Neurospora crassa OR74A: one gene and its partners. The protein of the gene in region 3 interacts with the protein of the main gene of each other region in a pairwise test. Links are inferred from orthologs where the notes say so. Each region holds a gene or a part of one and is shown on either strand. Other genes may lie near its edges.

Region 1 (4,190 bases), about 2.5 Mb from region 3:
AGGTGGTGTCGGGATTCTTAGGCGAAACGCCAGAAAGCAGCGCCGAAAATCCTGATCTTGCGGAAATACTGAGTAGAACTTGGTGTCTCGGGGTAAGAAAGCAATCTCAAGAATAAATAGGGAAACGAGAGGGGCGGAGTGCTTAGAATGTTCGGGTTGACCGGGTGTTAGGAAGAGAACACTAGAAACTCGTATGGTAAAAGCACCTAATACGGGATGATGCCATCAGATACACGAGATATCGAAGTAGGCGAGAGCTACATTGCCTTCTTTCCCTTTACACTGTTCTCTCAGGATTCCGACAACGTGGCAGAGGATCGCGGTTGCCTTGGACTTGGAAAAATGGGAGAAGGGCATTCCAAGCCAGATTGACGCAACAAAGAAGTCAAAAGGCAGCTTCCTTCACATAACTGAAAATGATTATTCCAAGGCTCCTCGACAATTCCTGTTGCTGTACCGGGTATCTTGAATTTATAATTTCGTGCACTAAAGCATTACAGGTCGTCAACAATTATGTTGCTGGTTGGTCAGCACCACTAAGATACAAAGGGTAGTACATGGTGACTGACTTGGCATGACCACTTCCTCTTCAAGCGGCGTGATGAGTAGTAGCCACTGTCGAGGCGTGACATAGTATTATCAAAGGGGTCAATGTCTAAGGACTGCCCCAAGCCACCAAGGTCACTAAACAACACGACTCCCATCTCTATGCGCGTACCAGGTAAAAATGAGCCACATGTCCTCGTTGCATACCAAGGGTTCATCGTCTATAAGTCATTACCGGATCACCGATGTTTCTTCAAGCGTCCAGCATCGTGTCATCGCCATCAAATCCGGGTTGCGCGACAGGGACACCACCTCCGCGACCTGCGAGAAGTTCTCGCCTGATCTCGGGCGAAATCTTGTCATGGCCGTGAGTTAGGAGAAGATCCAGGAGAGCCTCTCGCTGGTCCTCAGTAACTACACAAAGACCGCGGTTAGTACTCAAAAATAATAGGGACGCATAGTGAAACAGCGACGGAAGAAGCAAACTCACTGTTCGTCTTGTATCTCTGTGCAAATGAGAGCATGCACTGATGGAAGATGACTGGTAAAGCGTTGGGTGCCATATGCCCGCCGGTGGCGAAAGCGGGATACCGAAGAAAGTGGAAGACGAGGGCATCGAGCGCTTGGAAGGCTGTATTACAAAGTCAGAGAATACAATCATTGGCACGCTAGGAATTGGACTTACGCAAGGCGTGACGTTTCTCAATCAGAGTCTTGAGGAGGAAATTCGTAGCGCTAACGCAGTCGAGGCGCTGAGAAGCCTGCGCAGAAGAAATTTCGCACAAGCCCTTAATGGCCATACCGGAATGAACAGCCGGAATGGTGACCCGGGTCAAAACACCGGCTACGATCTGCGCCTCACGCAGCGAGCACGTTCCGGAAGCCGCCAAAGGAAACAAGAAGCCTGCCAACGGTTAGCTGGGTTGTCCCTTTTGAGCAAACCTGACTAAGCGTAGGCAGTAAATAACACACCTTTGAAGAAACCACCAGGCTTGTAGAGGGCCTTTTTTAGGGAGTTGAAAAGATGGACATTGAGCTTCTTGGTCTCGTGAATGTCCTCGCGGACGCGTTCTAAGATCACCATCTCCATAAACCGTTGAAGAACAGCCTCCTTGGCGGACGCAAATATCCTGGTGGCCGCGTAGCTAACAATCGCAAATGTCAGCAGCGTTTCTCTGGCTCCCGAAAACAGGAAGAAGCAACCATACCAGGCATTGGGAGTCCAGGACTCGGGTTGTGTAATGGGCAAGATGTCCTCCCAGTGGGGGATCTGAGGAAGGACCTTGAAAGGCTTGGGAAGCGGCCCAGATTTGTAGCGAGAAAGAATCATGCCAATTCTGCGAGAAGGAGTCTGTCAGTAGTCTGCCAAGAGGGTAACAGAAATAACGGCCAGCCTACTTCTCAAACACTTCCATCACCTTTGGGGGGATCTCGTAATCCTCATCAATTGGGCCAGGCTCGTCGCGGTACCCGCCTTGGGGGCCGCCGGCTTCCTTCTCTGCGATCTTGGCAAGAATAAGGTCCGCCAGGTTCACGCTCTGACCCTGCTCTTCTGCCCCTTCTGGCTTTCCATCCCATCCGTGTGTTAGGAGCGGGTCCTCGTTCATTGTGGGTGTGATAAACTGGTTGAATGTCTCGAGATCGGTGGCGTCGACTTCGATTTCCTCTACCTCCTCCTCCTCTTCCTCGCCCCAGGCCTCGTCGTTCTCAAACTTGTCGTCTTCGTCATCGTTGCGGTCGAATCTCGATGGATCGAACTCGAACGCCGAAGGAGCAGATCCGGAGGCTGCGTTTTGTGTTGTCCGGAGGTTCTCCTCCTCCTCGATGAGGCTACGGCTCATAGCCAAAATGTTGCGCGAAGCCTTGGCGTCGACATACTTTTGCTCATCTTCGTCGTTGGCGGCGCGAGTGTTCTTGCTCTTTTTGCCGGAGTTGTTCTTAAGGACGCCGGTAGAAACGAGGTCGGCCTCGAGGGGGTTGTGGCGCCTCTTCGACGTCGCCGCTGTTGTCTTGGGCATCTTGAATGGCGGTAGGGTTGTGCAATCGGGGGAAGAGTTGATGATACGGAGCTCTCCTGGTTGTCCCCTCTCTTTGCGATGTCGACTTGGCTGCACACGGCAATTGGGGATATTTTTTTCGGCGACCCTTGGACAATTTGTTCCCGCCGTGGAGAAGTCTGGGCACTTGAAAGGCTTGCGCTACGCTTGTGGTTGGTCACTTCTTTGCTGTGTGGGCACACTTTATTTTCTGATGCCAGGGCGGTGAAAATGATAAGCGGTACAATACCTCTTATCGCTTATCGTCTAGCTTGGACGCGCCCGGCGGAGCAGCGATAAACATTTTATTGCCCCGCATTTTCGTCACTGTGCCCCTCTTCGGTTGCAAATTCCTGGAATTTTGTTCCCTGTGTTTACAGTTTTTGCAGCTTGGCCCACTGCATGAATAAGAGCAAGGGAAGTCGCGACATCATAGCCTCGCTCGCCACGGTTACGAGCTTATAGCAAGTCCAATACAACCATACATCCAGCTACCATTGATAACATGCCGACCGAACTTGAAGAGGTAATTCTGCCAGAACCAGTGCAGTGTCAATGTCAGTGGACAGACAACTAATCGCTATAATCGCCTGAAGCTCGTGGGCTTCATTGCCTCGCCGAACGCCAACATCCGCCTTCTCGCGACAGAGAACCTGGTGCCCTTCTCAGCGTCTCAGCCCGCCCTCTTCAAGACCGACGAGCTCACCCCCATCAAGCATCTCAAGTTCTTGATCCGCGACCACCCGGTAGGCCCAACAGACTTGTCTTGTTTGCGCCCAAGCAGCTTCAGCTAAGACGTCGGTACCATGTGCAGAAAATCGCCGAGCACGCCCTAACATGCTTGATCAACTTGACTGCCGAGAAGGATGTGCTGGAATACGTCGCGACCGATGATCGCTTCCTTGGAATCCTCCTCGGGCTTCTTGTCGTATGTGTATCCATTCTGAGCTCCTACGGTGCGTGCGCAGCAAGGACTAACCGCTTCGATCCCGTTCCTATAGGAGCCCGAGGAGGTTAACGCCAATCTTATGGCTATGTTGCTGGCAAACTTGACCAAGTGGGATGGACTCAAAAGTCTTCTAGACCGGAAACAGCCCGCTCCAGAGAAGCTCAAGTCCGACGATAGGGTCATTAACCAACTAATGGACCTCTTCGTCAAGGGCGCCGACGGGACTTACAACAAGCACGCCGATTACGACTACCTCTCCTACGTCTTTGCCGACCTTTCGAAACATGAAGAGATCCGGCACTACTTTGTCAACAGACAGGACTACGACGATGTTATTCCAATCAACAAGATCAAGGTCTTTACCGAACACAAGTCCGATATCAGGCGAAAGGGAGTGGCGAGCATTATCAAGAACGCTGCTTTTGACATTCCTTCGCACCCGGCGTTTTTGGATGAGGATGACGTCAATATCTTACCCTACATTTTACTTCCTATCATGGGCGGCGAAGTTTATCCCGAGGATGAGGCATTGGAAATGCTTACCGATCTTCAGCTATTGCCTCCAGACAAGCAGCGCGATCCCGACAGCAGCAACATCCTGACACACCTAGAAACTCTTACTCTCCTCACCACAACGAGAGCTGGCCGCGATTTGATGA
Region 2 (4,237 bases), on a different chromosome or scaffold from region 3:
GGACTTGGGAGACTGGCAAACCATATGCCCCGTTCCATAGACTGGTGACTTTCAGGATGTTGTCTTATTGCTCACTAGGTACGTACAGCAGTAGTAGGTATTCTATTTTAACAACTATGCAACCAACTTTTTCAATCCATTATGTAAACCCAATCCCCTTGGCAGTTTTGATTATCCGACGCCTTTATACATACATACCATACGACTGACTGGACCTTTTTACACAAAATCAAAAGTATCGCCCTGCTCCGTAATCATCTTGCCCGCCCTCTTGGTCCCCACGATCCTCTCCAGCTTCATAATATCATACTTGCTGAACATGACCTTGACGTGCCCCTGCCCGTGCTCTAGCATCAGCGCCTGCTCGCTCTTCTGCAGGTACCCGCCCGCAATCTCCCTGTAGAAGATGGGGTTATCCGGCAAGCCATAAAAGATGACGCGCTTGACGCCCTTGATGGCGTACCGCCTAAAGTGGTGGGCGCGCTCCGTGTACAGCAGCACGCGGTGGCGGCCCGTCAGGAAATGCGAGCGCGCGCGCGACGCTTCGGGTGTGTCGGCGTACTCGGAGATGTTGCCGAACGTGACGCTCTCGACGGCCGGGTTATTGGCAAAGTAGTTGCGCACCCGCACAAAGTCGAGGTACGAGGGGATGAAGATGAGCGTTCCCGCCGCGTCCTTGGCGGCCCGCTTGACCAGCGTCGGCACGATGGCCTTGGTGAAGTAGGCGAAGCGGGCGTCCGGGTCGGCAGCAATGGAGGCCGCATCGAACCGGCTAAAGGTCTGGCGCGTCTTGACGCCCAGGTACTGGATCACGCCTGGGTATTCGGCTTGCAGCCGGGCTTTGCCTGCCCAGTTGTGGCAGTAAAGACGCTGCAACTCGGCCAGCTCGGGCGTGTTGAAGGCGCTGAAAATCACCGTCTGCCGGAAGTACTTGGCTTGGTCGTCGAGGTACCAGGAGCGCACGCGGGAGAAGTCGCAGCCGTGGGCGTCGCGGGGCTGGAGGTTGAGGTGCTCAAAGATGAACTCGACGTGCTCCCAGTTCTGCATGAGCAGGGCGTCGGCCTGGTCGACAATGACGAGCTCGATGGACGAGAGGAAGTCGTAGTCGAGCTTCTTCTTCTCTTCCTCGGAACCGATGGCCATGCGCAGACCGAGAGGGGAGGCAAAGATGATGTCCGAGTTGTAGAACTGCGAGAAGTACTTGATGGTCTTGCGAGTGAACTTCATACCGAGGCGGAACATGTCGTCGTCGTTGCCGGCGAAGAGGTCGCGGAAGTCTTCGGGTTTGTCGTCAGAGAACTTGGTGGACTTGTCGACATAGCCATCGTCGAAACGCTTGCGGTTTTCTTGTTGCTCAGGAGCGGCGACCTTGCAGATCATTTCGACCATTTTGACGCATGACTGGCGGGTAGGGAGAATCATCAAGACCTTGGGGCGGGTAAAGCCCTGGTCTCTAAGCTCAAGGGTGTCGTCTCTTTGCAACTTGGTGTTGTTCTTGATTACACGGTCACGAGTCCTGAGTAGGTATCAAAGTCAGCTCTCTGTTTACTCTTTTTTTTTTCGTGTTCCCATCAGACTTACTTGAAAACATGGTTGAGCGCATGCAGACACGCCATCCGCCTTATGCTCTCAGACGATGCCACTGACCGGTTGCAGTAAAGCATGTCTTGATAGTTGAAGAGAAGAGGTGCTACTGCCTTCTCAGCTTCGTCGAACTCGGTGTGCTTAGCCATCGATTCGGCTAATCGTTGCTTGAGCTTAAGATCGCCAACTCCAGAAATGGAATGGGGAAGTTTCTGCTCAGCTGAGTCGCCTGTCTCTGGGGTGTTGTAGTATATCCTGTTGGAGTTTTTTGCTATCCTGTCGGTCCTCCACTTGTTCGCCTGAATAGCCTTTATCCTAGCCTGAAATGTCGCCTCGTCTGGGGCAGTAAAGTGAGTTTCGAAGGGGTCTGAGTCGTCGAGGTCGTCATCTTCGTCGAACAGGTCCTCTAATGGTGCATCCTGGGGATCTTCCTCTGGCTCGTCAACTGCATCCACGTCCTCCGTCACCTTCTCATTGTCTTCGTCGTCGCTGTTATCGTCGTCTTTCGTCTTGGTAACTTTGTTCGGACCTTCCTCCTCCGGGTGATCCAACTTCCTCTTTTTCGTCTTGGTTGCACTCTGGAAGCTCTTCAGAAGACTCATGTATGGCTGACCAGACTGGGCATCCTCCTCCTCATCCTCCTCTTCTGATTCCTCAATCTCATCCTCAGAAACATTGGATTCCTCTTCAGAGATGTCCTCTTCCTCATCTTCCCTGTTTCAGTCAGTATGCTTTCCAGTTCTTTTCTGCCCTTGAGTGTTGAAATTTTCTTACTCTTCGTCCTTGTCGGCAAGTCGGGCGTCGTTGAACTTGGATGAGCGAGGGCCGAAACCTCCTCTGGCACCACCCCTCGAACTTCCCCTGCCGCGCCCTCTCGAAGCTCCTCTGGCGCCTCCTCTGGAGCCCCCTCCCCTGGATCCTCCTCTGCCTCTGAAACCTCCTGCACCACCTCTTCCACGACCTCCTCCTCCTCTTCCTCCTCCTCCACGGTCACCACCGCGACCTCGAATTGCCATTTTGATGCGGTAAGAGTTTTCTCAAATTATGAGATGTGAGGTTGGTGATATGACAATTGGTGATTGATGTGTGAAATCAGATTCAACAAAGGTGAAAAAAACGATACGGAAATTGTATTCAGCCTTGTCAACGAGCCAAGAAGAAAAAGTCCAAAAGTCCAATGGAATCTTGAAGGAAGGGCTTGGCAAAGAGCAGCCTTGTAACGCCACCCCTCCCCCTTGACCCTTGCGAACTGAAGAAAGAACAATCTCAAGTCCGCCAAGCTGAACATGGAAGTGTGGAGACCGGCTTATCTTATCTTAGCGCGCACAACACCCAAAGGTCCCGCATTGCGCTGCAAAACCAAAAATTCGAGCAGAGGTACCGCCTACTGGTCCCCATATTTTGCGAAAGCTGGATGGAGTACCTCCCGGTCTAGGGCGAGAGAATGGAAGTTAGTGACTGCCTGTGAACAGTGACGGACCCAACTCGATGGCCGGGCTGCCACCGAGACCTACCCTCACACTGGAGTGCCATTGACATTTGACACCCATTCTCGGCAGTGAAAAAAAGTGTAGTGTACAACCGTAAAAAGTGACTTCTCTTTCTGCCAGTGCCCAGCCCGTGCCCACTCTTCACCAGCGCAAGCCCACCCCACCCCCCGGCCAACCGCTAGCCTCTCTCTCACCCCGAACCCGAAAACAGCGTCTGCTGTCTACATTTTCAAAGAGCCCCATAATCTCAACCTCGACGGCTCCTCCCCTCCTCCTCGAACTCCCGTCCTGCTTCCTCTATCAACCACCACACCACCCCTCCACCATCTCTCACTCAACTACAGCCCAGCCCGTCGTCAAAATGGCTGTCGATCAGGAGTCTTTCGTCCATCTCTCGCGCCCCCTTGCGCCCAATGTGCTTGGCTTCGGTGTCAGCAATGCCCCGCTTACCGTCAACATCCAGCCTCAGGTACGTCAACAGCACCAATTTCCATACTACAGTCCTATATCTGCCCCTCCACTCCTATCTACCTAGTCCCCTACCTTGATGTCCCCCTTTGCGCATGTCAAGCTTACCTACCTACCTACCTACCTATATCCTCTCTGCTACCCCGCCGTCACCACCGCCACTACCACCACTACCATTGCCCAAGACCATACAACACCTAGCTGACATGTAGCCCTTCGCTTTCCTCACCAAATAGGCTGTCTTCTCCATCATCGACCATGCCGTCAGACGTGACGACCGCGACACCCAGTCGACACGGGTGATTGGTGCCCTCGTGGGTGTCCGCAGCGAGGACGGCAGCGAGGTCGAAGTCCGCTCCACCTTCGCCATCCCCCACACCGAGAACGAGGACCAGGTTGAGGTGGACGTCGAGTACCAGAAGAACATGTTGGCCCTGACGCTCAAGGCCAACCCCCGCGAGACCCTGCTGGGTTGGTACACCACCTCGCACGAGCTCAACAGCTTCAGCGCCCTGATCCAGAACTTCTTCGCCTCCCCCGAGACCGGCACCTTCCCCCACCCGGCCGTCCACCTGACCATCGGCACCGAGGCTGGCGCGACCATCGACACCAAGACGTACATCTCCGCTCCTGTGGCCGTCAGCCCCGAGCGCGCCGCCGAGTCGTGCCTCTTCATCGAGGTACCCCACAAGCTC
Region 3 (3,943 bases):
AGGGAAAGGCGGCATGTGGGCAATTTCCATAAACGGACCCGGTAGTACCTACTAGTCCCAATTCTGAACGTCTACGTGTAAGTGCATCTGGATCCCACCATTAGTTCATTCCCTTACACCGGAGTTTTGGTAGCTCATGGCAGAAAGGCTGGCACTTTCTCGGGTACTACATGGCCATCAACCGAATGAATGGTCGTTAGAATACACTTTTCATGCTACCTTTGGAAACTAGACTAACTCTCAGGCAATTTTGCATGGAGAAATTCCCAGGTAACTCTGGCTGATGTCTTTTCGACTTTTTTTTTTACCATCCCTCTCGAAATTCTGTGATGGCCTTTCCTGACTAAAGCGAGCCGTGTTGGACTGTCTAATTCGGTTATATTTACAGCCACTTCGTCGTCATAACTGGAGGTCCAGTCTCTTTCGTCATTGGCGTGCTTGGATAGACACAGGAAAAAAAAAACCTCTCTAGTGATCGACAATGATGGACACCAAAGAGCCCATTGCGCGTTGACTACTGGTACCAGAAGGTGGGTGTCATGCCAAACTAAACCCTTGCTGGCGCCCTATGATATACTGCGATAGCCGCAGAGAAAATCCAGAAGAACGCTGAAGGTGGGTGTCATTGCGAACCGTATGCCGTGGTACCTCTATGGGTGGACGACCTGAGGTGGGTTCGATGGACGGGATGATGACGCCGCAGGCAACCTAGCATTTCGACGCTGAAGCGGACAGGGGATGGTGATGCTGTGCTGTGCTGTGCTGTGCTGTGTTTCACAAGCAAGAGCTTTTTCGCCCAGTTGGCGGGGCAGATGGAGGTGTGGGGTTTACTGCAGTTTGGAACACAGTCTCGACTTCTGCGATGATGGGAAACGGTAATCCCGGTAACTGAAAGGCTGCAAAATGCGGCCGGGATCGCAGGAGGTTCCTACTATGCAGTACACAGATACACAGTGCTGGATTTAAGCTCTGTGGGTCCTAGCCAGACGGTGGTCCCACATGCGTCCAGCTTTCATGCTACCCCACATGGCGAGGCAGACCAATCACATGAAGCTCCCACTTGCCTGCCCCAACCGACCCCAAACTGTGGCTGAAAATTTCTGGTCCACCGCGACAAGGCTACTATTATCGAAATCTTCAAACTGCGACTTTCAACAAGGCTTTGCAACTGAAAGGCATTCGCAGACATCGTGGTAGTTGGCAGCATATGCCACTCGACGACATGATGCCGCATTCCGATCGCGAAATCACATCCGCCAAGCGGCAGAAGCTCAATGCCTCTGTCGTCAAGTCCAAGGCGCCTCAGAAGAAGAAGAAGGGTTCCTCCATCTTTGCTCCCTTCAGAGTACGTCCCTAATAGCCGGTCGCATGAAGTCCTCAAACTAACACCAAACTCACCACTCATAGACTGTAGGCTTGGTATCTCCAACAAGCGTCCCCTTTACCTCCATCCCTCTCGGCAAGACCACCTTCCAGATCACTACCTCGGTCGGCCGCTCCCTCCAGACCTATGACCTAAAGAGAGGTCTCAATCTCGTCTTCGTTACCCGCCCCCAGACTCCCGCCGACATTACCGCCACATATGCTTGGAAGGAAAAGGTATTCGCCGCTTGGGGTAACCCTCAAAATGGCGAGGCCCAAGGTATCTGGGTTTATCAGCGCGGAAAGAAGGTAGCCGAGCTTGAGCTGCCCGCCGACCTCAACCAGCCCATCAAGCAGATCCTCATCTTCGGTTCCTGGATTGTTGCATGCGCCCAAACCCGCCTCGAAGTATGGAAGTCGGCCACCCTCGAACACTACACGACCATCTTTTCCGTTGCCGCAAAGAAGGGCGACAACGAGCTCACTGGTGGCGTAGTCAACATGCCTACCTTCCTCAACAAGATCTTGGTCGGTCGCAAGGACGGTTGGGTAGAGATCTGGAACGTCAGCACCGGCAAGCTCATCTACACCATCCTTCCGCCCTCTCCCGACGCTGGATCTGTCACCTGTATGGAGCCTACCCCGGCACTTTCGCTTCTCGCCATCGCCTACTCGAACGGCCCTCTCGTCATCCACAACGTCCTTACCGACAAGGCCTCCCTCAAGTTGATGGCCGGATCCGAACACGCCCCCGTTACAAGCATCTCCTTCCGAACCGACGGTCAGGGTGCTGGTCAAGATGGTACAAAAGATGGCGTCATGGCTACCGCCACAAGCATTGGTGGAGATGTCACATTCTGGGATCTCAACAAGGGCGGCAGAGTGATGGGTGTACTCCGGAGCGCCCATAATCCCCCATCACACACCGACAAGACTGTGCGCGGAGGCATCAGCAAGGTTGAGTTCCTCCCAGGACAGCCCGTTATCATGACCAGTGGTTTGGACAACTCGCTCAAGTCCTGGATCTTCGACGAATCGCCCTTCTCGCCCGTCCCCCGTATCCTTCACATGCGCAGCGGCCATGCCGCCCCCGTCAACTGCCTGCAATTCTTGCCAACCGATTTCGATGGCGCCGAGGCCGGCAACAAGTGGCTTCTCAGTGGTGGCAAGGACAGGAGTCTGTGGGGCTGGAGTTTGCGCCGCGATGGCCAGAGCTCTGAGCTCAGTCAGGGTGCTCTTCGCAAAAAGGCCAAGAAGGTGGGTATTCTTGCTAATACCGCCCTCGGCGGCCACGGCCCGACTACATCTTTGGACGACCTCAAGGCTCCCGAAATCACATGCATCGCCTCCTCGCTCAACCGCGATGGCGGCATGGGCGCTATGCCCGGTAGGCAGGTCATCTGGGACAAGGGCAATGACAAGAGCAAGCCGACCAAGTCCGAGCTCGCTGCTATGACCGGCTGGGAAAGCGTAGTAACAGCTCATAAGAACGACCCCTGGGCTCGCACCTGGTTCTGGGGCCGCAAGCGTGCTGGTAGGTGGGCGTTCAAGACCGGAGATGGCGAAAATGTTTCTACCGTGGCTATCAGCCCTTGCGGCAGTTTCGCTCTTGTTGGCTCCGTTGGTGGTAGCTTAGACATGTTCAACCTCCAATCCGGCCGTCACAAGCAACGCTTCCCCTCCCGACTCACTCCCGCCCAGATGCGCCAGTTGAAGATGCAGCAACTTAAGGCTCTCGACAAGGTGAGCCAGCTCGAGAAGCGCGCCTCCTCCAAGACCTCCTTTGCCCCCGGCTCGGGCAAGCACACCAAGTCCGTAACCGGCATCGTGGTCGACCCGCTAAACCGCTTCGTGATTTCCTGCTCTCTCGACGGCACCGTCAAGTTCTGGGACTTTGTCACGGGCAACCTAGTCGACGAGATTGACTGGGCGCCCATGGTGCAGATCACGGGCTGTCGCTACCACGCCGGCAACGATCTCATCGCTTTCGCGTGCGACGACAATTCGATCCGCGTTGTCGACATCGAGACCAAGCAGACCATCAGAGAGTTCTGGGGCTGCCGCGACACCATTAACGACTTCACCTTCTCCAACGACGGCCGGTGGATCGTGGCCGCCTCGCAGGACCGCGTCGTCCGCGTCTGGGACCTGCCGACGGCTCACCTCATCGACGCCTTCCGGCTCGAGAAACCCTGCACCGCCATCGCCTTTTCCAACACGGGCGAATACCTCGCCGGCGCCACCGAGGGCGAGCTGGGCGTGCACATCTGGACCAACAGAACGCTGTTCAGACACGTGCCGACCAGACAAATATCCGAGAAAGACATTGCCGAAATCTCGGCCGGACCTACCAGCTCAGGCGAGGGCGGTCAAGGTCTCATCGAGGCGGCCTTTGAGGATGAACAGGAGGACGAAGAAGATGAGGGCGTGTCTGCGCCGGTCCTCGATCAGCTCAGCGCCGACATGGTGACGCTCAGTCTGGTGCCCAAAAGCAGGTGGCAGACGCTGCTGCACATTGACCTGATCAAGCAGCGCAACAAGCCCAAGGAGCCGCCCAAGGCGCCTGAGAAGGCGCCCTTCT

The links.
Region 1: the proteins of NCU07011 (region 3) and NCU08323 interact in binary tests that used the Saccharomyces cerevisiae proteins (3 or more experiments, as listed by UniProt). The link is inferred for Neurospora crassa OR74A from reciprocal best matches to the Saccharomyces cerevisiae genes UTP21 and ENP1.
Region 2: the proteins of NCU07011 (region 3) and NCU01022 interact in binary tests that used the Saccharomyces cerevisiae proteins (3 or more experiments, as listed by UniProt). The link is inferred for Neurospora crassa OR74A from reciprocal best matches to the Saccharomyces cerevisiae genes UTP21 and UTP25.

The regions. Positions count from the first base shown.
Region 1 is NC_026504.1:2,401,710-2,405,899, reverse strand, and holds NCU08323 (bystin), read right to left. Parts: upstream 2,729-4,190; 5' UTR 2,565-2,728; coding exon 1,945-2,564; intron 1,884-1,944; coding exon 1,755-1,883; intron 1,692-1,754; coding exon 1,519-1,691; intron 1,451-1,518; coding exon 1,232-1,450; intron 1,178-1,231; coding exon 1,037-1,177; intron 961-1,036; coding exon 800-960; 3' UTR 501-799; downstream 1-500. Other genes in the region: NCU16789 (hypothetical protein), read right to left, coding at 282-357; NCU08324 (DNA-binding protein HGH1), read left to right, coding at 3,088-3,108, 3,179-3,328, 3,397-3,510, 3,584-4,190. UniProt on the Saccharomyces cerevisiae protein: Required for normal export of the pre-40S particles from the nucleus to the cytoplasm.
Region 2 is NC_026505.1:2,700,885-2,705,121, reverse strand, and holds NCU01022 (DUF1253 domain-containing protein), read right to left. Parts: upstream 2,801-4,237; 5' UTR 2,601-2,800; coding exon 2,359-2,600; intron 2,299-2,358; coding exon 1,582-2,298; intron 1,517-1,581; coding exon 220-1,516; 3' UTR 105-219; downstream 1-104. Other genes in the region: NCU01021 (eukaryotic translation initiation factor 3 subunit EifCf), read left to right, coding at 3,436-3,543, 3,779-4,237. UniProt on the Saccharomyces cerevisiae protein: DEAD-box RNA helicase-like protein required for pre-18S rRNA processing, specifically at sites A0, A1, and A2.
Region 3 is NC_026504.1:4,898,668-4,902,610, forward strand, and holds the start of NCU07011 (WD repeat containing protein 36), read left to right. Parts: upstream 1-1,143; 5' UTR 1,144-1,207; coding exon 1,208-1,345; intron 1,346-1,407; coding exon 1,408-3,943. UniProt on the Saccharomyces cerevisiae protein: Involved in nucleolar processing of pre-18S ribosomal RNA and ribosome assembly.